4 separate regions of the Mus musculus genome follow, and regions 2, 3 and 4 are each reported to be linked to region 1. The links are microRNA targets in miRTarBase. Many come from high-throughput screens and were not tested one by one. Region 1 holds a microRNA gene; each other region holds the end of a gene's coding sequence.

What was found. Region 1 holds the annotated microRNA mmu-miR-5101 (UUUGUUUGUUUUGCUGAUGCAG, at 1,629-1,650, shown strand). A microRNA usually pairs through its seed, bases 2 to 8, with sites in the 3' UTR of a target mRNA and lowers its output. Matches are read on the target gene's strand: a 7mer-m8 pairs with bases 2 to 8, a 7mer-A1 pairs with bases 2 to 7 and ends in A, and an 8mer does both.
Region 2: miRTarBase lists Rprd2 as a target of mmu-miR-5101. Seed matches in the 3' UTR shown: 7mer-A1 at 2,482-2,488 and 7mer-A1 at 230-236.
Region 3: miRTarBase lists Gmeb1 as a target of mmu-miR-5101. Seed matches in the 3' UTR shown: 7mer-A1 at 525-531, 7mer-A1 at 531-537 and 8mer at 534-541.
Region 4: the mRNA of Cgas is a reported target of mmu-miR-5101. Seed matches in the 3' UTR shown: 7mer-A1 at 1,603-1,609, 7mer-A1 at 1,908-1,914, 7mer-A1 at 1,913-1,919, 7mer-A1 at 2,495-2,501 and 7mer-A1 at 2,525-2,531.

The regions. Positions count from the first base shown.
Region 1 is chr12:75,907,526-75,910,628 of GRCm38, forward strand. Mir5101 (microRNA 5101) reads left to right here and starts at 1,578; the gene lies at 1,578-1,660. It overlaps Syne2 (spectrin repeat containing, nuclear envelope 2), which reads left to right. Exons shown (of 116, transcript NM_001005510.2): 15 at 1,343-1,421; 16 at 1,651-1,838.
Region 2 is chr3:95,760,927-95,764,029 of GRCm38, forward strand. It overlaps Rprd2 (regulation of nuclear pre-mRNA domain containing 2), which reads right to left. Exons shown (of 11, transcript NM_001368178.1): 11 at 1-3,103. The coding sequence ends at 2,754. Among named protein-coding and RNA genes, the nearest start is that of Tars2, 7.5 kb to the left of the region's middle.
Region 3 is chr4:132,223,085-132,226,187 of GRCm38, reverse strand. It overlaps Gmeb1 (glucocorticoid modulatory element binding protein 1), which reads left to right. Exons shown (of 10, transcript NM_020273.2): 10 at 1-3,103. The coding sequence ends at 423. Among named protein-coding and RNA genes, the nearest start is that of Ythdf2, 12 kb to the right of the region's middle.
Region 4 is chr9:78,430,451-78,433,553 of GRCm38, reverse strand. It overlaps Cgas (cyclic GMP-AMP synthase), which reads left to right. Exons shown (of 5, transcript NM_173386.5): 5 at 287-3,036. The coding sequence ends at 629. Among named protein-coding and RNA genes, the nearest start is that of Cgas, 11 kb to the left of the region's middle.

The DNA.
Region 1 (3,103 bases):
CCAGGGACCGAATGCAGTCCTCCAGGCTTGGTGGCAAGTGCCTTATGCACTGTGGTGCCTTCTTGGCTGCCCTTCACCCAAGTTTGAGTAGGAAATGGCTTAAATGCTTCAAAGAAAAACCCGTCACAAAAACCAAAAGCATAGGCGTGTCCTTACAAGCATAGGTGTGTCCATGCAGAAATTCAGATGGAAACCCCATGGGGCGCCTTCTTTATGGGAAGGGAGGGTGGGGAGACTTGAAAAACTCAAAATTATAAGTTTCAAGGAAATGGAAGAGGATGATGAAGACATACATATCTGTTTATAATTGATCATTTAAATATTATGCTCTTCCAAATTGGAGGCATCATTCTAAACTGGGCTAGGTTTTATTTATATATAAAACATGGAGAACAGTACTACATATAACTTTTTGTCTTCTCTGAAGTTTTGTTTTGTTTTTTTTTTCTGGGCTTTTGTTTGTTCATTTGTACTTTGAGATAGGGTCATATGTAATGAGGTTGGTCTTGAACTCCCGATTCTCCTGTAAGTGTTAGATTACAGGAGTGTGCCATCATGCCCAGCTTTGGATTTACATTTCACTGGTTCAGTAATCATAGTAGTTAGCTAGCACAAAATAAGAATATAATCAGTGGTTCTTAACGTTCCTAATGGTGTAACACTTTAATACAGTTCCTTACGTTTGGTGACCCCCAATCATAAAACTATTTGTTGCTACTTCATAACTGTTATTTTGCTACTGTTATGAATTGTAATGTAAATATCTGTTCTCTGATGGTCTTATGCAACCCACAGGTTGAGAACCGCTAATATAATAAACAGGCGGTTTAGAGTCGGCTCTGAGTTAGCCCCAGGATTTTCCACAGCTGAATTAGTTAATGATAGTTTCACAGCCTTCTTTGTGCAGGTGGGGATAGCTTCTGAAAAAGTAACCTAATGTAGCTAATGAAGACTTACTAATTAGTGTGAATAAGGCCTGGGAAGCCTAAGCTATTGACACAGTTACACAATGTTACTAAGACGGACGAGCTGGAAGGCTTGGATCTGCTATGACTGATAAACTTGCTTTTTCCCATCAGCTGGACGCAGTGTAAAGTCACATGGCTATGTTAAGGTGAATCTGCTGTGATAGCCCTGTGTCATTGTGCTCTTGCATCTCCTAAGTCCTAGCCACCCTTCCTGAACCATTCCTTCCATTTCTGCTGCTGCAGTGTGGTGGTATTGAATACTCAAACATTGCTGGCAACCTTGCCCTTTACTGACATCACATACTGACATCTGGATTTCTTGGCACATTTTCAAAAGTAAAATCTGTCAACATTTTTTTGCCTCTCCTTCACAGAAATTTACTGGAGAAAAAAAGTTCCTAATTCAACTTGATGCTTCTTTTCAAAAATGTGAAGAAATGTATAAGAACTCGGGTAAAGTATCCTAGTTGCTTTTTAATGGGTCAGCTATCATTTCAAGATGAGTATTGTTTTACTTTGATGGTTTGGACATTAACTGTTTTCATCCCTGCTTTCCTTTCTTTTGCTTTTAATATTGTTAGGCAACATGCTTGTTGGTTAATGCAAATAATTTTCTTAGTATCAGTTACAAACAAAAACCGTTTTGTAAGACTTGTTGTTTTTGTTTGTTTTGCTGATGCAGCCAGAGAATGTGAGAGTATTAGAGAGGAGTATATGATGCTGGAAAAGAATGTTCACTCGTGCAGACAATACATCCATAACACGAAGGCCACACTGCAAAGAGCACTGATGTCTTGGGCAACTTTCGAGGAAGATCTCGCCCTACTAAAGGCTTCTTTTGACTTGACAAAGAAGGAACAAATTAAAGAGGTATTTGAAGTCAATGGTTCTATCCCAGTTTTACATTTTATTTTTGGAGACTGACTACATACATACACCATTCAAGTTAGGGATTAAAGGCATGCATTACCATGTCCAGCTAGAATGAACTTTTCTATTTCTTTTTGTTTGGAAGCCCATTTTGAGTCCAAAAGTTGAGTGTCAACAAAGGAGTAAACATATCTTCTAGAAAATTCTTCAAGAATTTGGGAAGAACTTAGTTTTTTCCTAATGTAATTGTCAGAGAGTATTTCCTTTGAATTGTACACACACACACACACACACACACACACACACGTTTACATAATAATACAGCTTTTTTTTTTTTTTGGATCACTCTATCAAGAACCTGGAGACAGGTTCTTGGCTATATGATCTAGGCTGGCTTCAGAGTCAAGACTCTCCTGTTTTCATGGGACTTCCTTTCTGATAGGATTACAGGCATGTCCTACCATGCCTACCTAAATCACTGTTTTTAAGAATTACAATTTTCCATTTAGTTAAAACCTTTTTCCCCTACATCTTTTCTGAATTTCCCTCCTACAGAGGGTCCCAGATTCATTTGATCAATAGAGGCTAATACCACCTTCATGATGGTTTTCCTTAGTCTCTAGGCCAAGAATTATTTAACACGTCCCAATTTAAGTCATCTAGTTTCTAGTTCCACAACTTAGTAGCAGCATGGGTTCTAGGAGATAAATGCTGCTGAGACCACGCCAGAGTTAAAAAGCTCTAACAAGATCTCTGGCATCATGGCAGAGGTTCGGGATTGTATGTTCAAGATGGCATTTTCTGAGTTATGTATATTTTAATATCAGATGTGTGGAAGGAATGTCAGTGCAACTATTATTTTTGTATGCCAGCTAGGAAATAGCATGTGTTTCTGTCACTCGCTTTTGTAGTTGAAAGTGGACCAAGACAGCCTTTCACTCTGAATGGAGCAGAATTACTTTGTGGACAGTAGGCTCTTGGTATGGAAGAAATGCAGGGAGTATAGGAGTGCACAGAGAGCACCTTAGACTTAGAAAGTTCCCTCGTCTCCCTGTCACCTGGGTTGGTCCTATAAGCTCATACCATTGGTTTTCAATAGTTCTTCTGTCTTTCAGGGTCTGATATTAAAATGTACATAAACCTGGGGAAAGTTGCCGTCTTGAATGTGACTCTGCTGAGATACTCTGGGCTTCCAGAGATCTTAAAAGAGACTTTGAATTTTACAGGAGACTTGGTAGCATCTATCACATAGACACTGTGCCAGT
Region 2 (3,103 bases), not on the chromosome of region 1:
TGTTTTTACAGTGAGCATCAAGGACCTTAGTGACAACTACTCACTCTGCTTCATATGACTCATGTCCTTGCTAAGACACACTATGTTGTGCATTCTTTAAAAAATATCTTGTTTATTTATTTTTAAACTTAGGGTGAAATACAAAAGCCAGAGTATGGTACCGAGTTTAAATCACAGACACAGGAAGAATAAAATCCTTGTTTTATCTTTATGAATACCAGAAATGTCTTTTGTTTCACTATATCACATATATACAGATGTCTTCATTTACTGTTGTAGGAAGATTTCCTTAAAATATCTGACAGCTTCATATAACACCCACTTCCACCCTGAAACAAACACACTGAAGATCTTGTGGCAAAAACAAAACAAAACAAAAAATATCCCACAAACCCCAAGCCCTGAAAAGTCCGTCCTTGAACTGTACAACGCACTCCTGTCTTGTGGCGGCCGCTATGCTTTTGAAGACAGTTATCCTGCTTCAACATTTCAGAAACCACTTTCCTGATACTTCCCTGTTTTCTTAGAAAATCAAATAGTCAAGAGAGCCTTTTCAAGTAAACAGTATATTTAAGTTTAAATAAGAGCGGTAGAAAGAATTCACATTCTTTTATTCTAGACTGAAAAATACCCCCACTTAATTTCTGGGAAAAAAAAATCAATTCTGAAAGTCACAATTTCCCCGCCCCCGCCCCCATTCTCTGTTTGATACCTTTTTTTCTTTTTTACTAAACAAATGTCTTAAGACTCAGTATATAACTATATTTCCCTTGCTTTGCTATGTTATACCCAACCCAAAACACGAGGTCATGATATCATGCATTTTTGTGAGGAGACCTATAGGGCAGAAAGGCTTGAGAGGAAAGAACTGGCTCAAAACGGATGTGAATTCTGAGGATTCTTGCTGTACCTCACAGAGATCACAGCTCCCGGGCTCTGCTGGACAGCCTTTCTTCAGGAAAAAAAAAAAGTGGTTTGCTCCAAGACAAAAGGATTGTCTTCAACCACAGGCCACCCTTCCCTCCATTCCCTACCCACCCCACTGAGGAATCCAAAGCCCTCCTTTTCTTTCCTCTGTAGAGTCCTGTGTGAACTTGCTGGAATTCCTTCAAAAGCTCAACACACTGGTGCAGCACACCTAGCTGGAGGTCCTCAGCGTGTGCCCCGGTGCAACACACTACCAGAAAACCTAGTGTGCAGTGTCTGCTTCCCAGATACAAAGACAGAAACATTCCAAGATCCACGATTGTCTTCCCCTTAGGGATTCGATGCAGAAACACAAACAAAGTTTTTAATGCAGGGAAGAAAGCTCTCCCCTCCACAGCAATGACTCAGGCAACTCAAATGAGGGTGAGGGTGAGGGTGAGAGGTGGGTACTGAAAGCACCAAGATGCTATTTGCTGAGGGATAACATGGATTCCTCAGGACGCTGCTTTCTCAGTACCCCCTGCCTCTAAGACACGCCTACGCAGTATCATGTAAGGATACCACCCAATCGCCTCTGAAACAGCAAGAACAGGATGAATACAGGACTGTGATGGGTGAGGGTAGAAAGAAACTATAAAGACACAATATTTTCCTTTCTCTAATAGTTAATGTTTGCTGAAAACCACCAGTTAGGCACCATAGTAAAGTTAAGTGTCTACTTAAATTTTTAAGAAGGCAGGGACAACATTTTACCTACATTCATTATCAATTTAGTCAGAATAACTGAGGGAGAAAAAGTAAGGGAAAGCAGGAGACAAGGGCTTAGAATAGATACGGAGAACCATCAAAATGTTTCCCTTTTCCTTGTTTACAAAAGACAGTTGGTCACTGAGTGGTCTGTCCCTAGCTTTACATATTGTGATCATTTCCCATTTTAACCTTGAAATTATTATATTCAGCTTTTTCTTTCAACAAAGAAACTTTCCTTTCTTTCTGAGATAAAGTTCTACTCTATAGCCCGGGCTGGCCTCAAACGTGCCCTTCTCTTGCCCCTGCCTCCCAGTGCTGGACTTGTGTGTGCTACCACATCTAGCAAGAGAAAACTTTTTACTGCACATAATGAAGTTTGTACTGCCTCAGAGTCACTGCCTGGTAATAGTTCAGACGAGGCTGCTTAAAAAAGGAAAGAGGAAAGCATTCTGTTTCCACATGCTTTTAGAGTAAAGCAAATAAAGTCGACAGGCCCCACACTGCCCATTGTTTCCCCTCTGCAAACACTCTCGGTCCTCTGCAGAGTAGAAAATACAAAGAAGGGAGCCAAGCTGGTTACAGAAGCTGCTTAGCTGGAGAGGGAAGGAGACAGGGCTCCTCCTACTGACCATCAGCAAGGCCAAGACCCAAATAACACCCCAACATTGCACGTTATTACCTGTACTGACCGAAGTTTTATTTCGATGTAAGTAATCTCTCAATAGATGGGATAAATACTGTTATCCTCCCCACTCCCCCAGCCAAATAATGTGGCTTTGGTTATGTTTACTTATGCCTGTGTGTTTTGTTTTTTTAAAGAAAAAATACAAACAAATTGGAAAGGCCCTAAGTGTGGAGAGAGGACTGGATAATAGCAAACTGTTACCATGTATGCTTTCTGAATTTGGAAGGAGGGCCCTTCATTAAAAAAACAAAACAAAACAAAACAAAACAAAAAAAAAAAAACAAAGTGGAAAAAAAAAAACAAGAAAGGAAAACCAAATTTAAACAAAAACCCAAACTGCTACTTCCAATGCTCTCTATAGACTGTTCAAAATGCCTTCCCCAGATTTCCATCAGTACCTGGGAGGGAAGAATGGGCGTTTTGGTGCAAAGAACGGAGGGCCTCTAACAAAAGGTGGCCTGGGTCTCTTTAAACTGTGGAATGGGTCTCTGCCGAGAAAAGCTTCCCTAGGCCGAAAGTCTGGCCGGGGACTCCGTAAAATCATACCACTCCGGCCGATGGCGTCTCTGTGTGCGGGACTCAAGGGAAGGCCACTGCTGCTGGTGTTGCCTCCCCCACCTCCTCCAAGGGCTGGGCCCAGGTGCTCCAGAGGATGGGAAGGCAGGCTCAGGCTCTCTCGTGAACGGTTAAGACCAGGGCCATTGAGGTCCCTGGGTCCTGTGAGCACCCCAAAATGCTCAG
Region 3 (3,103 bases), not on the chromosome of region 1:
GTGACTGTCCACACACTGCCTTCTGGCCCTCAGCTCTTCCGCTATGCCACGGTGGTTTCCTCTGCCAAGAGCAACTCACCAGACACAGTGACCATCCACCCTTCCTCAAGTTTGGCACTGCTAAGCTCCACCTCTATGCAGGATGGGAGTTCCCTGGGCAACATGGCCACCATGGTGAGCCCCATGGAGCTGGTGGCCATGGAGTCCGGCCTGACGTCAGCAATCCAGGCTGTTGAAAGCACCTCTGAGGATGGGCAGACCATCATTGAAATCGACCCTGCCCCAGACTCCGAGGCTGACGACACTGAGGGCAAAGCAGTCATCTTGGAGACAGGGCTGAGGACTGAGGAGAAAGTGGTAGCCGAAATGGAAGAACACCAGCATCAGGTCCACAATGTGGAGATTGTGGTCTTGGAGGACTGATTGGGGACAGGGCCAAGAGCTGTGTTTTGGTTTGGAATTTTAATTATGTTTATTTTTATCATTGTCCCGCTCATTTCCACATAGAACTTTTTTTAAAAAAAAAACAAAAACAAACAAAAAAAAACCAAACTACAAAATCTCGTTGTAACTGCAAATGTTGGGTTCCTCCTACTTCCTCATTGACAACTGGACAGAACAAGCTGCCTTTCCAGAAGTTAGAAACAGGGCACCCAGGGTCTGAACCATCTTTCCCCAAGGAAGGTAATTGCTTTTAGGGGAAGTGTCAAAATATCCAGGAATCCTTTCCAGAATAGTCTGTCTGTGTATACACGCATGGTCTCACTCTTGTAAAGACGCATTGACCAGACCCTGGAACACAGATCTGACTCCAGAAGATGACCAGCTCTGCTGTGGATACAGAAGCACGCTTGCCTCTGTGTCCTGGATATGATGGCCTCAGATGCTGGTGTGCAAAACTGAAAGAACAGGAGGTTGGCTCTGCTTAGGGTGGAAAGTAGTGTGATCAGCAGCTCATAGGGGGAGCCCTTTGACAGGGAGGGGCCGAGGAATGGTCTTCCAGAGGTGCATCTGATGCCCCTTGCGCTCTCTGAGGGTTGGGTACCATTTTCAATTTCAGAAGAGGACAGAGATTATAGAAAGACACAAAGCAATCAAAAGATTGTCACAGCTGTGCTTTTGGGATAGCTCACCTTGCCCCCAGCCTTGTCAAAGCCCTCACCCTCCTCGCCCAGGACTATCAGTCCATTCCTTTGCAGACTGTGATGTGGTATAAATTGTTCTAATTCTTGGACTGTGGCTGTCATGGAGGTGGGGCTCCAAGGCCATCATTTTTCGTTTCTTGACTCCAGGAATGGCAGAGTCCCTCGTGCAGACCAGCTGCTATTTTTGGTGGAGCCCTGCACGTAAGCATGCAAGTGTGTGTGTGTGTGTGTGTATGTGTGTGTGTGTGTGTGTGTGTGTGTGTGTGTACATGTTTCGGGTTTGGAACCAAAAGCAGTCATTTCCCTGGTGCTTCCTTTTCTTTTCCTTCCGTCTGCTGGACCCCATGCTCAGTAGCTTTTTGGCAGACAGCAGTGACAGGTGCCTGCCTGCCTTCATTCTCTTTGCCATTCTCCTCTTCTGATACCACAGATGTTTCTGTGAGATACCGAACTCATAAAATGGCTTAGGCTTGGCAGGGACAACTGGTAACACCTTTCCTGAGGTGTGGACTAGATGGCTCCTGAGTGAGCTGCACTTTCTGGGAAAGGGACATTGTATTTGACATTGTAAGAAGTATGACAGGAGTGTCAGTAACGTCCAGGCGTGGGGCTTCTTCCTAAATGCTGTTTGTACATTCGGTACTACTAGGTCACTCTTTCTGCTGTGATCCCATGTCGTTGATTCTCTTCAGCGTTTGGGGGAGAGTAAGCAGTTTCTGGTTTCTTTAATTATATTGTTTACTATGTTAGGGAAAATATAGAGACTCTCGAGGTGACTTTATAGGTCAAAAAAGCATACAGCTTAGGAGCTGGAGGATTTATTATTATTATTAAAAGTAAAATTTTGGCTTTTGTTTAAAAAAAAAAAATAGAGAAGGATGCCTGTCTAAATCTGTCTTCCTGCCTGCAGGTTTTGAAAACCCTGTAAGCAACCAAAAGTTGCACCTTCCATCTCTTAGACGGCCATGTGTCACCAGGGAAGCAAGCCCTCAGGGATCACTCTGAAGACCCTGAAGAGTGCGGCTTCTGAACTCTATTCAGATTTGTTTCAGCTTTAAAACTGGACTTTTCTTTTCAGACTCTTTAGTTAGGCTGGGGACAGAACTGAATTGGTAAAGTGGTCACCTAGCGTTCATGAAACCCTGGGCTCAGTCTCCAGCCAGAAGTAAACTGGGCATGGGGCCACATATCTGATCCTAACACTTGGGAAATAGAGACGGGAGACTTAGAAATTCAAGGTCATACATACCAAGTTCAAGACCAACCTGGGATATATGAAATAGTGTCTCAAAAAATTTTTGTTTAGGACAAGCTTTTGGTGAAAGAAGGAATTTATTCCTGCCTTCCTTACACTTTGTTAATACATAGGAATTTTTATTACATTTATTTATCTGTGTGTGTGTGTGTGTGTGTGTGTGTGTGTGTGTGTGTGATGGTGAGCTTGCTACGGTATGTATGTGAAGATCAGAGAACAACCTGCAGGAGTCTGTTCTCGCCTTCCACCATGTGGGTCCTGGGAATTGAACTCAGGTTGCCAGGCTTGGTGGTAAGCACCCTCATCCATTGAGCCATCTTGCCTGCTCTAAAAGTTTCGGTCTTCAGACCAAAACTGTTACTTGAACCTAGAAAGCCACATCGCATCCCTGTTGTGTCCTTTAGGTCATTTCTCTTTTCCAGAGATGGGCAGACCAATTCAGGACACGGGAGGCACCCTAGAGAATAGAGGCAGGCTCCTTCAGGTCCTGCCTTTTTGCTCTTCACAGCTGTTGTGTCATTAAAGGTTGTGTGAGCAGCATGCTTCCAAAGTCAGATTTCCTTCTTGAGACAGAGCCTGTTTACTTAAAACAGATTACATGAGCTTTGCTGTTTTCCTGGTCTTCCAATTGCTGTCATTGCTAGCTGCAGTGGTACTTGGAGAGATGAGATCTCTCACAGACCTGGTCTAGATTATTTTAGGT
Region 4 (3,103 bases), not on the chromosome of region 1:
GAGTTAGGAGCCAAAGGCCAGCCCCTGCTACATGATGAGTTTATGGCCAACCTGAGCTAATGAGACCCTGCCTTAAAAAATTGGAAGAAAAGAAGAAAGTATGTTTAAAAAAGAAAAAGAGACAGACAAGGTGGCGCACATCTTTAATTCCAGCACTTGTTCTTGGGAAACAGGGACGGGTGGATCTCTTGTGTCCCAGGAAAGCCAGGGTTACATAGAGAGACCCTGTCTCAAAAGAGACAGTTGTAAGTAAGTAAAAATGAGTATCTTCTTTCTTATTTAACAGAAAAGAATGTTTAAAATTAATGAAATACCTTTTGGAACAGTTGAAAAAAGAGTTTCAAGAGCTGGATGCATTCTGTTCCTACCATGTGAAAACTGCCATCTTTCACATGTGGACCCAGGACCCGCAGGACAGTCAGTGGGACCCCAGGAACCTCAGCTCCTGCTTCGATAAGTTGTTAGCATTCTTTCTTGAGTGCCTCAGGACAGAGAAACTGGATCATTATTTTATTCCAAAGTTCAATCTATTCTCTCAAGAACTAATTGACCGAAAAAGTAAAGAATTTCTATCGAAGAAAATTGAATATGAAAGAAATAATGGGTTTCCAATTTTTGACAAGCTTTGAAACTGTATTTGTGTTATATGTTATAATGTGTGTCTGTGGGGTTTTAGGTCAGATGTCGATTGATGCCAGGCGTCTTCTTCAGTCATACTTCACTTTTGGGGGTGGTGGGAAGAGTGGTGATTTCAAGACATGGTTTCTGTGTAGTCCTGGCTGTCTTGTAACTCCCTCTGTAGACCAGGCTGGTCTTGAACAAAGAGATCTGCCTGCTTCTGCCATTGGAATGCAGGGATTAAAGGCCTATGCCACCATTAGGTGGCACACTTCACTTTTTTGAGCTCAGGGAGGTGTCCGGGCTGATTAGCCAGTGAACTCCTGGGATTCAGCTGCCTCTGCTGCCCCAACTCTGGGATGACAGATGGACATCACCTATTCAGCTTTTACATTGTTGCTAGCGGTCTCAACTCAAGTCCTCACGCTTGCAAAGCAAGTACTATAGTGACTGAGCCATCTTCCCAGCCTGACATTGCCTTCTGAAATCAAATTGGGTTAAAGTGATGTAAGTCACTTGCCTGTAGTTTCAGTACTTGAGAACTTTTCTTTGTTTGGGTTTTACTGCTATGAACAGACACCATGACCAAGGCAACTTTTATAAGGGCCAGCATTTCATTGAGGCTGGTTTATAGGTTCGGAGATTTAGTCTGTTGTCATCATAGCAGGAAGCGTGGCAGCATCCAGGAGGGCAGAGCACTGGAGAAGTAGCTGAGAGTTCTACATCTTCATCCAAAGGAAGCGGGTAGCAGACTGCCACCCACATGGCCAAGAGGAGAGTCTTAAAAGCCCACCTCTATGGCGGTGACACACTTCCTCCAACAGTGTTACACCTACTCCGATAAAGCCACTCGTCCTCGTAGTGCCACACCCTGCGCGGAGCATATTCAAACCACCATGGAAGTGGAGGCAGAAAAATAGTCCAGTGTGGTTCTTAGCTATATTTTTAGTTCAGGCATAGCCTGAGGTACACGAAACCTGCTTAAAACAAAGTTCAATCGTTAACAGCACTTATTGCTCTTCCGGAGGGCCTGGGTTGGTTCCCAGCATCCAGTGGCAGGCACAACTGTAACTCTGGTTCCAGGGAATCTAGTTTGACCACGACACACACACACACACACTGACACTATTTTTTAAGAGCACAAAAAGAAAATGAAATTATAATCTGACCCCATAATATGATAAGTGTGCTAGCACTTCATTATAATCCTGGCACTTGAGAAGCTGAGATGTGACGGTTGCCATGAATGCAAGGCCAGCCTGGGATATAAAATACAATCTTGTTTAAAAAAACAAAACAAAACACCAAGAGCCAAAAGCCGTCCCTAGGAGTCACTGTGAATCCCTATGAGTTTGGCCTGGGTCTGCTCACCTGTCCTGACTCAAAAGGGTACATTTTCTTTTTCTATTTTTCCTCTTTAGGATTGTCAGAATTTACGGAGGATTTTTTTTTGGTATGTTGTGCTTCTTGACGCTCTCATGAAATCTGCCCCCCTCCCCAACTCCTTGACACACACCCCATATGGCTAGTGTGTCTATTAAATGGCTGATGTTCTCTTTGAGTACAAAATAAGAACCCCCAAAATGTGAATAAAATAATTCAAAAAAAAAAAAAAAAAAAAAAAGCTGGGCAGCATGCCTTTAATCCCAGCACTTGGGAGGCAGAGGCAGGAGGATTTCTGAGTTCGAGGCCACCCTGGTCTACAAAGTGAGTTCCAGGACAGCCAGAGCTACACACAGAAACCCTGTCTCGAAAAGAAAAAAAAAAATTCAGATGTTCATAGCACTGACTAAAATGGATATAATTATTTAATACTCAGTTTCTCATAATTCACTCACACATAAAGAGTATAACAAAAATGAAATACTAAAGATAAAAACAAAAACCTTGCCGTATTAGAAAGGGAAAACAAATAAAAACTTTCCCCAGTGAGACTCATTAAGAGCTTAATGAGTATACTCACCTAGTAGAATCCGCAGAAGGTTGTGAGAGATTGTATTGGAAATAGTTGATTTAGAATTTGTTCAAACACAAGAAATGCACTGCCGCCTCCTCTGTCCTAAGGTAGAAGGGAGGATTGTGTACTCCGTCAGCTCTCCCTCAGGTACTTTATCATGTGTGCAGGAGCATGTAATTTATTTTTATCTTTATTCTATACGTGTTTTTACAAAAGCAATGATACAGCGCAGCGAGATGGGTGTGGGACAGAGGATACTCTCGTCTGCATCCAAGCAGCGTTCCCCAGGGGCAGCTGATGCTCATTTCCTCTTTTTGAGTACTTTGTTGCATGGGTTGTTGCAGGAGCCTTTTCCAGTGGTCTGTAGCTGTTCCCTGTGTAACAAATAATGTCTGCCATGTATGTTGTCTTCACTTTTTAAAAGTATCTCTCAATAAATAAGATTTAAATGTTTTAATGTAGTTGAATGTATCAGTCTTAGAGTTTGTGCCTTGTTCTCAACAACTACTGGGTTTAAACATCAGAGAA